Linked DNA regions of Tamandua tetradactyla. The protein of the gene in region 2 interacts with the protein of the main gene of each other region in a biochemical or structural test. Links are inferred from orthologs where the notes say so. Each region holds a gene or a part of one and is shown on either strand. Other genes may lie near its edges.

Region 1 (7,092 bases), on a different chromosome or scaffold from region 2:
TCTTAAATTATGAACATTCCATTCTTGGCATATAGTCAGTGACTCACAATATCATCACATAGTTGTATATTCATCACCATGATCATTTCGTAGAACATTTGCATCACTCCAGAAAAAGAAATAAAAAGAAAAAAGAAAAAAACTCATGCATACCATACCCCTTACCCCTCCTTCTCATTGACCACTATTAAACTTTATTTTTCTTTAATTCCTCTATATCCAATTCTTTTCTCCCTCTGAATGCAAAATTTTATTGATGTAAATGAGTTTTAAAGCCTGCGTAAAGAAAAGATTTGCACATACTGGGAGGATGATAAATGGACTAAATGTTTGTTCACAACAATTTTTGATTCCATCTGTACCCCATTTTTTTCACAATGTTCATTGTAATGTTTCTGCCATTCATTTATTCATTCGGTATTCAATGAGCAGACATGTCGGGTACCATGCTGGGAGGTAGACAACAATGATTCTGACAGCTGGGTGGTGGTTTTCAGCTTGCAAATCGTTTTTATGGATATTAAATTCATTCACTCCTCAGAGGCACATACTTCACTTAACCCCAGTTCTGCCTCCCTTTTTGACTTTATTCTGTTCATATTCCTCATTCCTTTTCTCAAATCTTTGGTGGGCAGGCTCTTTACTAAGTGCTTTGATATAAAGGGGTAGGGGAAGATGTTTGGAAGAGAAGGTAGAAAAGGAGAGGAAAAATGTAAAACATGAAAATTTAATTCAGAGATGTTTCCTATACCCCACACTTTCAGGTAAAAGGACGAAGTATTTCTGAGGCACACTGTTTTTATTTAGTAAGGTACAAAGAGCCACCTGAAGAGCAGCAATGGCCTTTCATGCACTCAACACTGGAAACTGGGCTGAGACTAGACATAGGCCAGTGGTTTCCCAAATCCTCTCCTTCTTCTAATAAAGCCTATTGGTCATACTGGAGATGCCAGATTTATGACCGCCTTTCCCCCCACAAACACCCGGGCCTCAAGTCCCAGCATCAAAGTATTTCCTCTTGAATTTTGTGACATCAACCAATAGGCAAGAAATAGTATACAGAAAATTAACCAGAAAACTATTCCTTCCGTCTCACCTCACCTGTTTCATTCATTTCATGTTTCTCATGCACAACTCAGGCTCTTGTAAGGAAGAGTCAATGGGCTTTCCTGCAGTAGACTAGCTCAAGAATATGCTGTCTCAACAAGAGGAGGACGGCGATAGTACACTGCTTGTGTATAGGCTCGCAGTATCACTCACTTTTCAGCTTGTGATAATCTCTTCAAGAGTACTTTGGAGATTCACAGGACATACACTAAAGTTCTACTGGGAAACAAACCGAGTTTGCTTTGCCCTGTGTCTGGAATGCTCTTCCCCCAGAACTTCCCATGGCTGTCTCTTCCTCATCATTCAGTTCACATGTCACTTTCATGGAGAGGTTCTCCAGACACTCTATAAAAGTAGTATCCTCACACTCGGTCCCTCTATCCCATGTCACTCCTTTGTTTTCTTTGTGGCACTTATCATCTGAAATTGATGATGAAATCTGCCTCTTTCACAAGACTGAAAATTCCAATAAGACAAAGATTTCTTTTTAAAAATGCACTGCTGGGAATTTAATAGTAGGCCTTTAATAAATATTGGTGGAACAACAGATATTTTATATTGAATGTTTGTTATATGCCAACTCTGTTCTAGGTTATGGTGTTGCAGCAGGGAATTAAGCAGACAGAAATCTCTGAACTCTTGGAATTTACATTCTAATGCAGGAAACAGACAAACACATAAGTAAAATCCCTAGTGTGGAGGCAGGGGAGTGGGGTAATGCCAGGGTAGGGGGGAGAGGTGGGGATGAGGGGATAAGTGATTTAGGCAAAATGAACAGCAAGTTCAAAGGCCCCCAGGGGACCATAAGGGCCTAATGCCTGAAGCCAATGAGTTCCTGGGGGAGTGTGGGGTGGCTGTGGGGTGGCTCCAGATCTGATCATGTAGAGTTTTGTAGGCTGGTGAAAGGACTTTATGCTTCACTCCTGTGTGAGACAGGAAGCTGCTGAGGAGCTTTTGAGCGGAACCGCATGGTCTGATTTAGGTTATAATGGGAATGCTGTTTTGTTCTGATGAGAAAAGACTATGGGGGCAAAGGTGCAGGTAGGGGACAATGAAATAATCCAGGCAAGAGATGACAGTGGCTTGGTCCAGGATGGTGGCAGGGAGATGGTGAGATGTGTTAAGAGTCTGGAAATATTTCAAAGGTAGGGCTGACAGATTTGCTGATACAATGGATAAAGTAATGATGAAAAAAAAAGTGTGAAATTGATACAAGGAAGGCTTTTCTTGGATTTAAAGAAAAGAGACTGGTTTTGTCAGGTCTGTGACACTGATATAACAAATAGTAGCACAGCCACCCAGGAATTCTGCATTGGAACTTGGAACTTTTGTGTCGTCTATTATTTATGGCAAAGAACAAAACAAAATGGAATGGTGAAATATATTCAGTAACAGAAACTGTTCTTGCAGTTAAGCAAGCTGGTTTGGGGCTTAATCTTATTTCAGCATACTGCCATAAGTAAATTAATTGTTCAGCAGACAAACATTTCTAAATAAAAATGCACAACCCTGAGGAGACTGGAAAGTTCGTTGAGTAGTTACACAAAAGGGTAAACATTATTAGCAAGAACCAGGGTCTCACCTGATTTATCAAGATTGAAGATCTGTACTTCAAATTGATCTGATGACTGCTCACACCTCTGGGTCTCTGCCTCCTGCGCTGCACTGAAGACAGCTTCTTCGAGAATATTCAAGTTTGCATTCCTTACCTAGTATAGAGCCTGGTCTGTAGGTGCACAACAAATACTAACTCTTCATTGCTCTCTCCTGGTCTCTCTATATAGTGCTCAGGAACACTTTTCGAATTAAACAAACAAAAAATTAATTTCTTTTACAAAAGTCAGTGATTCGATTTTCTCAAAATAATGAAACGTAATGGATGCCAACATGTGTAACGAGCAATCAATCCCTAGGTCCCTTCTGAGCAGGCAGCCAGGGAAGGCTTCCAGGGGGAGAAGGAATCCTGCAGGCTGAGACCTGAAGCGAATGTAGAGCGAGAAAGATTCAGAGAATACTGGATTCAGACATATGTGCAAAGGCCTGAGACTGGAGGGAACCTGGAACACCCTGAACCGAATGACCGATGCACGCAGAACCCAGGCGCTTGGATCTTTGAGTGGATAAATATGTTAAAGGAGAGCCAAAGGCTGAACGGTGCCTTTATAAATTGCTTTAGATCTGCAAACCCTCTGAGTTTTATAGAACAATTCACTCAGGGCCAAAAGGTACCCAGAGATGGTGCGTTCCTGTCAGTCCACTATACCCATTCCCTGTAGAACGGCTTCTAAGGCGCTCAGTAGGTAAGACGCCTCGGCTGCAACCCTCAGGGGAAGGCGCCCTTAAGTCACTCTTTTAGCTCGCCTTAGTTCCCTTGGTTGCTATTTCTGCTCATTCCACCCCCCCCCCCCATTTTAGTGTCTCCCAACCAATGACTTTGTCTCCGCACCCATAAAATCGGCTATCGAAGAGCGTCCTGCAGCAGAACGCTCTAAGTTAGCCTTTTATTTCTAGGATTTACTCGAAGCCATTGAGTAACGAGAACAATATCTGGCGGCCACAACTCCCCACCCCCCCACCCCCCATGGGGCGGCTCCTGTGACTCTCCAGCTTTTTCTTCTATCTCAAGTACGTTCATCGACACAGCAATTCAGTTCAGAACAGCTAGTTCCGGGGGGCGGCCCGGCCGGAGGCGTCCACGCCCTTCCCCTCTCCCGGGCTAGGCCAGAAAGTTGACATCCTCCTTCCAGAGTCAGCGGGGGCGGGGAGGAGTCGGGTGGGGTGTCAGGGAGCGCAGTGAGTGCCCCTCGAACCGAAAGTCCGTTCTTCCGAAGTGGCCTATCCCAGGCCTTCTCCACTTCGGAAGAGAAAGTTGGGCGGGAGCGGGAAAGGGTTGGGGCGCGGAACAGGACGGTGGGGGTGGGCTGGGTGGTCCACGCCGCGCGCAAACCCGGGTGGAGCCTGCAGCCAGGAGCGGCGTCAGCGTTTAACATGCAAATCGATTCCCAGCTCCCTCCCTCCGCCACCCCCACCCCTGCTGGGGGAGCGGGGATACGCGGCTCTGCAGCCGCCCACGCCTCCTCCTGCGCGCCGCGGCGCTCCAGCGGGTGGCTCTACTTAAGCCGAGTGCTGGCCGCGACCCGACACTCGCCTGGAGTGCGCGGGCGAAGAGGGCTCTCCGCACCCGGGTGCACAGTCGCGTGCTCTCACCGCTAGGTACCGTGCGGCTCTCGGCGGCGGTGGCTTGAGCTCAGGGCTCTGCGAGCTTTCCGGAGTCGTGACTCCGGGAAGGGCGGCTGCGGCTCCTGCGCGCGACCCCGCTCCCTTCGCCTGCCCCAGCCTTCTTGGCCATGGCTCTGGCGGACAGCACACGTGGATTACCCAATGGGGGCGGCGGCGGGGGTGGCAGCGGCTCCTTGTCCTCGTCGGCCGAGCCGCCGCTTTTCCCTGACATAGTGGAGCTGAACGTGGGAGGCCAGGTGTATGTGACCCGGCGCTGCACGGTGGTGTCGGTGCCCGACTCGCTGCTCTGGCGCATGTTCACGCAGCAGCAGCCGCAGGAGCTGGCCCGGGACAGCAAAGGCCGCTTCTTTCTGGATCGAGACGGCTTCCTCTTCCGCTACATCTTGGATTACCTGCGGGACTTGCAGCTTGTGCTGCCTGACTACTTCCCCGAGCGCAGCCGGCTCCAGCGCGAGGCCGAGTACTTCGAACTGCCGGAGCTCGTGCTCCGCCTCGGGGCGCCCCAGCAGCCCGGCCCCGGGCCGCCGCCGCCGCACTCGCGGAGCGGGGTGCACAAGGAGGGCTCTCTGGGTGACGAGCTGCTGCCGCTGGGCTACGCCGAGCCAGAGCAGCAGGAGGGCGCCTCGGCCGGGGCGCCGTCGCCCACGCTGGAGCTGGCTAGCCGAAGCCCGTCCGGGGGCGCCGTGGGCCCGCTGCTCACGCCGTCCCAGTCGCTGGACGGCAGCCGGCGTTCGGGCTACATCACCATCGGCTACCGCGGGTCCTACACTATCGGGCGGGACGCGCAGGCGGACGCCAAGTTCCGGCGGGTGGCGCGCATCACCGTGTGCGGCAAGACGTCGTTGGCCAAAGAGGTGTTCGGGGACACCCTGAATGAGAGCCGGGACCCCGATCGGCCCCCTGAGCGCTACACCTCGCGCTATTACCTCAAGTTCAACTTCCTGGAGCAGGCCTTCGACAAGCTGTCCGAGTCGGGCTTCCACATGGTGGCGTGCAGCTCCACTGGCACCTGCGCCTTCGCCAGCAGCACAGACCAGAGCGAGGACAAGATCTGGACCAGCTACACCGAGTATGTCTTCTGCAGGGAGTGAGCTCCCCAGAACCCCCTCGCGGACTCCGGCGCCCTCTCCCTCCCTTTCCTTGCCCGGGAGATGATTTTAGTTCCCACCCTTCTCGCCCCTCTCACCCATCAACCTCTCCATGCCTCCACTCCGTCTCACTCCCGAAACTGGGGCCCGACCCCTTTGTCACAAATTCCAGAACTTGCAGTTGCAAACCCTCTCAGCTTCTTCGTTTTCTTCGGACCCCTCTAACCGAGAGAGCCCAGGTGTACCCGAGCTTCCTCCATCCCTTGCCTCAAACCACCCCTCCCCCTCCCCCAGATTGTCCTTCAGTCTCGATGGACTGGGTCAGTGTGGCCACGAAGTGACTGAATTGTTCAGAACCTGATTGGACATGTCCAGTGTGTAGAAGATTCCTTGAAACCTTCTGGAGCCTTATGACTCATTCGGGGTTTAAGAGATTAGAATTGATAACACTGGGATAGTTACCGTGTTTTCAGAGGCCATTACAGTCTTTAAAGGTGGTTATTTAGAAGTTTGAATGAAAGACTGGTCCTAGAATTAGGACCCTATTGAGGCCATTCGGTGATTGTAAGTAATGCATTTTGAAAAGTTATAGGTAGAAGTAGAATAATCTAGTGCTGGCACAGTGGAGGAGCGTATCTTTTTCAAACAGCATAAAAAGATCCTCGCCTGTCGCTTAAACTTGTAGAACGTGACCCTGCTGCCTGCGTGACCCTTTCTCCTTGACTCTTTGCTGGAAGCCCCTTGGTTCGACTTCAGTTGACATGGCAGACGTTATTGACAAGAGGGAGCAAAAGCACCACCGCCCGAAGAGGGCACATGTGGGAAAGTTCCCTCTCAATGACTTTAAAACAGAGCTGGGTAGGAAAGCACGTGGTAGGTATAAGGAAAGCCCGTATTCTTGCAGTGTATGGCAGTAGGACCTTCTGTAGCTTGTAGGACTTGGGGTTGGGGAGGGGGGGAGGCTGGGAGGGAGGAAGAAGGGAGGAGCAGACATACTGATTTATTATTTGAAATTTGAACGTTTCTGCCATCCGTTTGAGTACATGCACTTTTTCTTTTAAATATCAAATAGTACATGAAAACATGCAAAGCATTTTATAAAATTAACTACAGACCTACTTTTGACTGGCAGTTCTTGAACTGTCTTGAGTCCTATTAGAAATTGCTGATACTTATATAATCTAACCAAAGAGTTACCCAGTGAGATTTTGGTTTTTGAACTTTTTCTTTTTGAATATAAATTCCGATTTTAAAATCTATTTACTTGAGCAAAATATGTTCATTTTGATTAAAGATCGGTTATTAAAAATCTGTATTTTGGGGTTCGTTTCCTGGTGCCTGCCCTTGCAAAAAAAAAAAAAAAAAAATCCGTATTTTCCTAAGCTCAGCACATATTCTGCTGAGCAAACCTGAAAATGTCACTTTGCATTCTTCTTTTATGCCATTTGTTTGAAGGTAAGGTGGAATCTTTTCAAGGGACAGGACTGCACAGAAACGGAAGCACCAAGGGCTGCCCATCTGTAGATAGCTGTAAGATGGAATATTTTTAAATGAAGGCAGATAAGTACGTAAAAGTGAGCTGAGCAATAAAATGCTGTTTTAGGTAAATGAAACAGAAGGAGACCTGGTTGCCTTATGCCTTTACTCTAACATGGAA
Region 2 (7,606 bases):
TTGGGGAAGAGGCAGGCATGGATGCCAGAGCCATGGGGCAGTGGGGGGGACCCTGGACCCAGTTCCTGGGAGGAGCTGCTGCGGGAGGGCAGAAGCAGGGGGAGGCCTGGCCAGACGTCAGGGGTGGGTTTCTGTTCAAAGGGACAGAAGCAGCTGGACCATGGAGCCCTGAAACTCCCAGGAAGGGAGTGGACACCATCCCTCGATACAGCCCTGATCTCTGAGTCGGAGTTCAGAAACTGGCTCTGTATGTAGGGAGAGGGCGTGGGAGAAAAAGATTACCTAAGCAGACAGGGTTACGGAAAGAAGATGAGAACTTAAGCCGTACAGATGTGGGCTGACATGTGTGCTTGATCACATCTTAGGAAGCGATGCTGGGCAAGTAACTCTTGTAAGGTAGATGAACTCATGCGAAGCAAGTGTTGACCAGGGTCTTGGGAGGTGGGATCTGCCAGCATGTTGCATTTCCATTAATGAGAAGAAGAAGGATGACCAATCTAGCCACTTGTGCCTACCTCCTCTGCTTCCATCCTGGTTCTCACCACTGCCCATGGCTTATTGTGACAGTCTCCTAACTGGTCACCCTGCTTCTCTCCCTCTACCACAGGTGTTCACCCAGTAGGTGCTCCATGCAGTGCCTTCCAGCGGTCCCCCATTTCGTTCCATATAAACCCAAGTCCAAGTCCTCACAGCGCCCAGAATTGCACAATTCAGCCTGCCGTTGACCTTGGGTGCTACCATGTTTCCCCTCTCTCACTCCGCTCCAGCCATACTGGCTTCTGGACTGTTCCTTGAAAATCCAGGCACACTGACTTGTCAGAGCCTCTGTGCTCTCTATTCCTGACCCTGAAACACTGTTTGCGTGTTCTTTAGGTCTCTGCTCAAAATGTCCTTCAGTATGTGCTTCTCAAACCTCCCTATTTCCAACGGTATCTGCCCCAGCAGCCTCTATCTTTCTTGATTTCCACAAACTGACATTCTGAATCATGATGCTTATTATTTTTTATCTGTCACCTCTAAGTTCCAAGAGGGCAAGGGTTTGGTCTGGTTTGTTCACTCCTGTATCCTGAGCTCCTAGAACAGAGCCTGGCACATTAATATAGGACCCCCCCCCCCAAACATTGCCTAAATAAGTGAATGAAAGATTATTACAAACATGAGGCTGGACTCGGGCCCTAGAGGGAGGCACTCTAGCCTGGTGACCAAGGCAGGAGCTGGGACTTAGGAATCACGCCAGGGACCCAGCTTCCAAAACTGGGAACACAAGGCCAGGGTAGGTTCTGGAAAACAGAGGGCTGCCCTGGCCTCAGAAGTGGGGTATGAGGTCGGAGCTTGGCCTGTAGCCAGACTGACGGAGAGGCTGGCTGGGAGACTGACACCCCTTAGGTCAGGGCCGGGCATGCACCATGTGGCTCCCCGTAAGTGGGGTCAGGGGGCTGAAGGCCAGGTTGCCAGGCAGGGTCCTCAACCACTTAGTAAATGTCCGGCAAAGTTATCCAGCTTTCAACTTATTCCTAGATGTAGGTGTTGGCGGATACTCCATATTGGCACAGCTTATAAGGAAAGCACAAATGACTCAGGGAAAAAGAAAGAGAAAAGGGAGAAGGCTCATTCAGAAACCTGAGCTGAGGAGTTAAGGAGTGGCAAGTGCCCGGAGCCTCTGAATAGAGGGTACCTATGATGCCAGTGAGATATCAGCTGAGCACCCTGGGGATTACACTGTCCTTTGGCAGGACAAAAGTAGAGATGCAGAGCTCACAGAAACCCTCTAGCTTGGGGGCGAGGGCACGTTAAGTGCCTGCAGAAGCCTAGAAAGAAGAATTGGGGTGGGGAGAATCTAGGTTGGTTTCCCTGGCGCTGTCCAGGGTACTTCATCTCAGCCTCTCCCCGTTGCTTTCCTGCTTCCTTGTAACCTGGCCTCCGGTTCAGGGCTGCCCCCAGCCCCTGCCCCTGTCCCGCCCCAGGCCAGGTTGGATTCTTACCAAGGACGAGTCACACGTCAGCAGAGATTTCTGCCTTGGGGCAAATGGACTTCTTGATTTCGTGCGGAGAGACTTTGGAATCAAGTATTGTCTGGGAGCTGGGCTCTCCCACTTAACCTAAATGGCCCTGAGCAATCTCACAGCCTCTCTGAGGCTCAGTATTCTCATCTGTGATATGGAGATAATACTACCTCCTGCCTATGGAAAACGCCAAAATTACATGAAATTCAGTGAACAAATGTGTTTAAAGCATCTAGCACAGTGTCTGGCTCTCAACAGGCCTTCAAAACATAAGAGTAGCTGTTATTATTTTTTTGGTCAATAATTTGCATCAGCGAACACTTTACAGTAACAACTACTCAGAGTTCAAAACAGGCTTACAGATTAAAACAAATGCTAATTCCCTGTCCCCTTATCTCTGAATAATAATCATGTATAATTGCAAAAAATATGTTCTATAATAATAATAATTTATGAGTACTTTCTACTTCTCCAAATGGGATACTGAAACATTTATTTGCTCAGAACCCCATTGTAGGTTGACAAAGGAATGAGGGGGAGATAGGGGCAGCTCCTGAGCTTTTATTGACACCGAAAAGCCTCCTTCTGTCACCTTCCACTTTAAGGAACAAGGAAAATGTGCTCGCTCACACTTCAGTAAACGACACAAAAATCATTATTTAGAACTGTTTGCCATGTCGCAGTAGCACCCAATTCCTCCTCAGGATATGTCCGGGATGTGTTTGGAGGTACCTGTGTCCTTGGGAAAGAAAGGCTGCTCTGGAATGCGAGCCAGGACAGCAGTTGTTCCCATTTTATGGATGAAAAAGCTGAGGCCCAAAACAGGCGAAGTGTCTGGTCCAAACAACTGAATTTGGACTTGAATTTGGGTCTTCTGCCTCTGCACTCAGGCTGCCTTTTGTCCATAAATGGTCAAACACAACCGTGGACACCTACACATAAAGATCTCCTTGATCAGAAGGAACAGGCTTGTGCTGAAGTGTGATCCTTGTCGCCATGGGTACCTGCCTCCTCTCTCCAAGGAGGCTCGGTGGATCCGCGGAGGAGCGGAGGTGAGTGGCCAGGAATGCATCCCTCCCACTGCCAGGTAGAGGGAACTGAGGCCCGGGGGCCTGCTCTCCCCCGTCCCAGCTCCTAGTGCACTGTGCACTGCAGCAAGTTAGGGAAGCTTTCTGAGCCTCAGTTTAGTCACCTGCAAAAGGAGGGTGAAGAGAGCAGTGCCTCCTTCAGAGGTAGTGAGTGTTACCTTGGAAGCCACCTCAAGCTCTACGCTTAGTGAAGGTTTCACTCCTGTGTTGTTACAAGGTTGTCCACATGGCCCTCGATGCTGTGTCCGGGTCCACCGATGTTTTCTGACTTCATGTCCTAGGGTGTCCCTCCTCTTTAACCACCCCTGGGATTTGAATATTTTGTTGGCCACGATTCCCGTCCTTCAATCACCGGGAGGCACACGGGACCCAAGTCCCCAGGCCAGCTCACAAGGGAACATCTGGGGCCCAGGAGTGTTTTGCCCACGGTTGGCCCATGCGATCCTGCAGAGTGGGTCAAGGCCAAGGGCGCACAGACCCCGTTCTGGCCTGAACAGAGCTCCGACCCGGGGAGAAGTCTTGGGCGGGGACCTTCTGGAGAGGGTACACGGGGAGGACATATGCCTGGAGGGGGCGATAGCGCACGCAGCTGAGGACCCCAGCCTCGCCCAGAGTGGCAAAGGGCGGCTGCTCCATCCGGTGGGGGTCCCAACCAGGCCCCAAGAGCCCGCCAGCCTAGCACCAGGGGCGTGCAAGAGCTCTGGGTCGTCTTCGGGCGCCCCTGCGTGCCCGGCCAGCCTCCCCCCCCCTCCCCCAGCAACCGCGCGGAGCAGGAGAGCGTAGGCTGCAGGTGCCGCTAGGACGTCTCCGTGGCGCGCTCGCCGGCCAGACCTCGGAGAAGCAGCCCCAAACCGCCGCGCAGGTGCCACAGAAAGCGTGCCAGTGCGCGGTCCCCGGCGGTCAGCGGGCCGGGGACGCGTGTGTGCGTGTGCGGGAAAGCGGCCCTCCCCGCAGTCGCCGCAGCGACAGCGCCAGCGCCGGTGCCTCCCCCTCCCCCGGCGCGCACGGCCCGTCCCCGTCCCCGGAGGCGGCCCGAGCCCGGGCCGAGCAGCCTCGCCTTCGCCTCCCGCGCTTCCTGCCGCCCGCTCGCCCTCCCCCGGCGGGGCTCCAGGGGCGGCAGCCGCGCAGCTCCCGGCGGGAGAGCGGCGCCGAGCGCGCACGGGGGCGGGCGGAGGTGGCCCGGTGCGGGGCGGCCGCGCCGCGGAGAGGCGCGCGCGGAGACGCCAGCCCCCCTCTCGGCGATCGCTCGCTCGCTCCCCGCCTCCCGCACTCCGCTCGCTCCCACCCCTTTCCCGGCGTGATTGATCCGTCACGGGCGCCGCCGCCGCGGCCGTTCCGAGCCGAGCCGGAGCCCGAGTGGGAGCCCGAGCCGGAGCCGGGGCCCGGGCCGGGGCCGGCGCCATTGCGCGGGCGCCGCGGGGAGAGCTGGGCGCGGGGCGGCGGGCCGGGCCAGGCCATGCGGGCCGAGTGAGCCGGCGCCCGCAGCCCGCGGCGCGGCATGGCTTCCCCGCCGAGCTCCGGGCAGCCCGGGCCGCCGCCGCCGCCGCCGCCTGCGCGCCTGCTGCTGCTCCTGCTGCTGCCGCTGCTGCTACCGCTGGCGCCCGGGGCCTGGGGCTGGACGCGGGGCGCCCCCCGGCCGCCGCCCAGCAGCCCGCCGCTCTCCATAATGGGCCTCATGCCGCTCACCAAGGAGGTGGCCAAGGGCAGCATCGGGCGCGGCGTGCTCCCCGCCGTGGAACTGGCCATCGAGCAGATCCGCAACGAGTCGCTCCTGCGCCCCTACTTCCTCGACCTGCGGCTCTACGACACCGAGGTGAGCGTCCGGCCGCGCGCTCCGTCGGGGCTCCGGGAGGCGATCGGGCTTGGGGTTGGACAGGGGCAGGCCGCCGGCCTGAGGCCGGAGCCCCGGTTGACCCGTCCGCGCCTACCGAAGGCACCGCGGGCTGCTGCTCAGTGCTTACCCCGCCGGGGTCCCCCGGGGCTTGGCTGGCACAGCTGCTATCAAGCTTGGCCGAGCATTCCCCCCTCCTCTGGGATTGTGTGTGTGTTCATGTATGCGCGGGGGGTGTTGGATAGATTAGGGTGTCCTTTGACCAGAGAAGGAGGAGTCGAGGACTGGACCCCCAAAAGCCTGCAGTGGCTGTCCCTGCCCAGGATCCGCTCGTGGGGCTGTGAGGGTGGCGGCTGGGGGGAACAGGCGCTTTGACGGCAAACCGGGCCACTTGGGGCTGGTGGACAGCCGAGCTGCGCTCTGAGGTCCGGAGGGCTCCAGGACCCGAGGGGCCCGATCGCGCCCTGGGGCTGGACACTTGGTGCGCGCCAGCGGCTCGGAGTACGCACGGCGGCGCGGGCGGGTATGGGGCCGCCCGCTCTGCAGCGCTGCAGCCTGGCTTTGCCCGGCGCTGCCTGCAGCCCAAGCGGTTTCACGAGGAGACCCTCTTCGGGTTAGTTACTAAGAGAGTGCCCTGGGCAGGTCTCGGCCCGGCCGCGCGGGGTGTCTGGCCTCGCCACTGCTCTTGGTCGGGCGGCTGCAGGAGTAATTTCTCCCGGCGCTGAGCTGCAGCGTCCTAGGAGCCGGAGCCCGGACTTGGAGCGCAGCAGCGGGCTTCCCTTTCCCGGCCTCCTCCAAGTGGAGCGGGGGATGCCGGGCTCTTCCATCCCAGGCTCCCTTCCCGCGCCCTAGGCTTCTATTCCGGCTAAAGCTCAGCGCGGAACTTGGCTGCCCACCTGGACGTGGGAACTAGGGCGCGCGGAGGGGACTTAGAGGAGCCGTGGCCCGCCGCGCAAGGTCGGGTTTGCGAGTTTTCCGGGACAAGAGGGAGCTCCTACGCTCGGGCCGTAGCGCCCTAGACGCGGCCTGAAGGGGGCAGTGGTTTCCCGTGCACTATACTCGGTTGGTGCCTCTTCCACCGCGCCAAGCCGGGCCAAGCGCTCGCTGGGCTTGACCCCGGCACCCTGGGCGCTTCTGCTCAATCCAGGTGCAGCCCCCTTTGGGGAGAAGGGTCGCGCTGCTTTACTGATCATGTAGCCCGGGCTCCGCTTCCTCCGCTCTCTGACCCTTTTTATGTCCCTGGAGAAAACAGAAATCTGGATTGTCTCTTCTTCCCCGCCCCCTCCCCCCTCCCCTGATGAACCAGCCTGCTCTGCGCTGTAAATAAAAGGTGAAGGAGCGAGTGGCAGTTGGTGGCGGTGTGCGCAGGCTGTTGCAGGAGGAGAAGCAGCCTCTGCCCTGGGAGGGTGTGAACAGGGTGGCCGTGCAGGGCTAACCCCCGTGTGTAATCATTTCTGAGTGGCATTCCTATCTCCCCAGCTTTGCCAGAACATTTCAAGTCCCCTGGGGTTCTGGTCCTATACACGTAAATGGAGAAAGCAGTGCAAATACACGGCCGCCACCGACACGTTATCTTCTTGACTCTGCTTCTCTGTTTCGTGCATACATATTCTCTTGGAAGGAACCCCGGAGAGCCGGTTTTCTGGAGACAAAAGCATTTGTAGACAGGGCTACTCTGCTTGCATCATCACCAGATATTGTCCACTGCATAATGTTTTCATTGTCAATTTATTCCCTTTAAAAAGCTTCCCTGAAAGAGATTTTGTATTATCCTGTTTGTGGCAGCAGAGAGATGGATGCTTGGCTTCTGACCGTTGAAGCTCTTACGTTTTATTTTTCAAGGGTGCCTTGATGACTTTCTGAGTGAGAGGCCCCAAAGTCGAGAGGATGAGCCAGTGAGAAGGCTCTTCAGTCTGTAGGAATATTTAGGAAACAGTGGGAAGGAGGACAGCAGAGGCTGACCCCAGCCGCATGCAGAGAGGAAGCATCTCTACCCTTTGAGGGCCAGTAAGGGACACAGGGTGGACTCGGGTGGGTCGGATCTGGGTTCTAGTAGAAACTGGTTCCTTTTCCCCTGGGTGACCTTGGGTGAAGCATTTAATCTCCCTAAGCCTAGATTTCCACATCTGAAAAAAAAAAGAATATTATATGTACTCTGCAGAGCAGCAGGGCAAGGCTTAAGGAAGATAAGGACAGAGCCACTGAGCTCTCTGGCATGCAATAAGCACTAAATAAATGTTTTCTGCCTCCTTTCTTTGGATTTCTCCTGGCATGAATTCACAAGTAAGATGCTGTGGCATTAGATGTGATAAAATGGTCATTGCTTAAATATTATGGCTGCTTATTTGCTTTTGAAATCTCCAGAAGAGTTGATGAAGTTATTGGCAGAAAAAAATAATTCTGGCTTACAGCCAAATATTGCCCAGCAGCAAGTGTCCTATTTGGGAGAACACCCAGGTGATACAATTGCTTAATTTTTTCAAATAGCCTCATCTTTAAAAGTGAAGCGGGAGTAAAGGAAAGATGAGTCTGGGTCATTTGTAGCAAAATCCACAAACACCTGGAAAACTGTTTGGAGCCTGCTTTCTTTGGATCAGCTATCTTTGTGGATACTACATACTGCCTAATGACTGGCAGGCCGTGTCACTTGTCGAGTGTAGACTCGAATGCAGGGTGGATGTGGT

What was found. The genes of interacting proteins can lie anywhere in the genome.
Region 1: the proteins of GABBR2 (region 2) and KCTD12 form a complex in vitro, tested with the Homo sapiens proteins (2 studies listed by BioGRID). The link is inferred for Tamandua tetradactyla from reciprocal best matches to the Homo sapiens genes GABBR2 and KCTD12.

The regions. Positions count from the first base shown.
Region 1 is NC_135330.1:144,650,938-144,658,029, reverse strand, and holds the start of KCTD12 (BTB/POZ domain-containing protein KCTD12), read left to right. Parts: upstream 1-4,078; 5' UTR 4,079-4,454; coding exon 4,455-5,438; 3' UTR 5,439-7,092. UniProt on the Homo sapiens protein: Auxiliary subunit of GABA-B receptors that determine the pharmacology and kinetics of the receptor response. Increases agonist potency and markedly alter the G-protein signaling of the receptors by accelerating onset and promoting desensitization.
Region 2 is NC_135328.1:15,904,033-15,911,638, reverse strand, and holds the start of GABBR2 (gamma-aminobutyric acid type B receptor subunit 2), read left to right. Parts: upstream 1-4,589; coding exon 4,590-4,904; intron 4,905-7,606. UniProt on the Homo sapiens protein: Component of a heterodimeric G-protein coupled receptor for GABA, formed by GABBR1 and GABBR2. Within the heterodimeric GABA receptor, only GABBR1 seems to bind agonists, while GABBR2 mediates coupling to G proteins.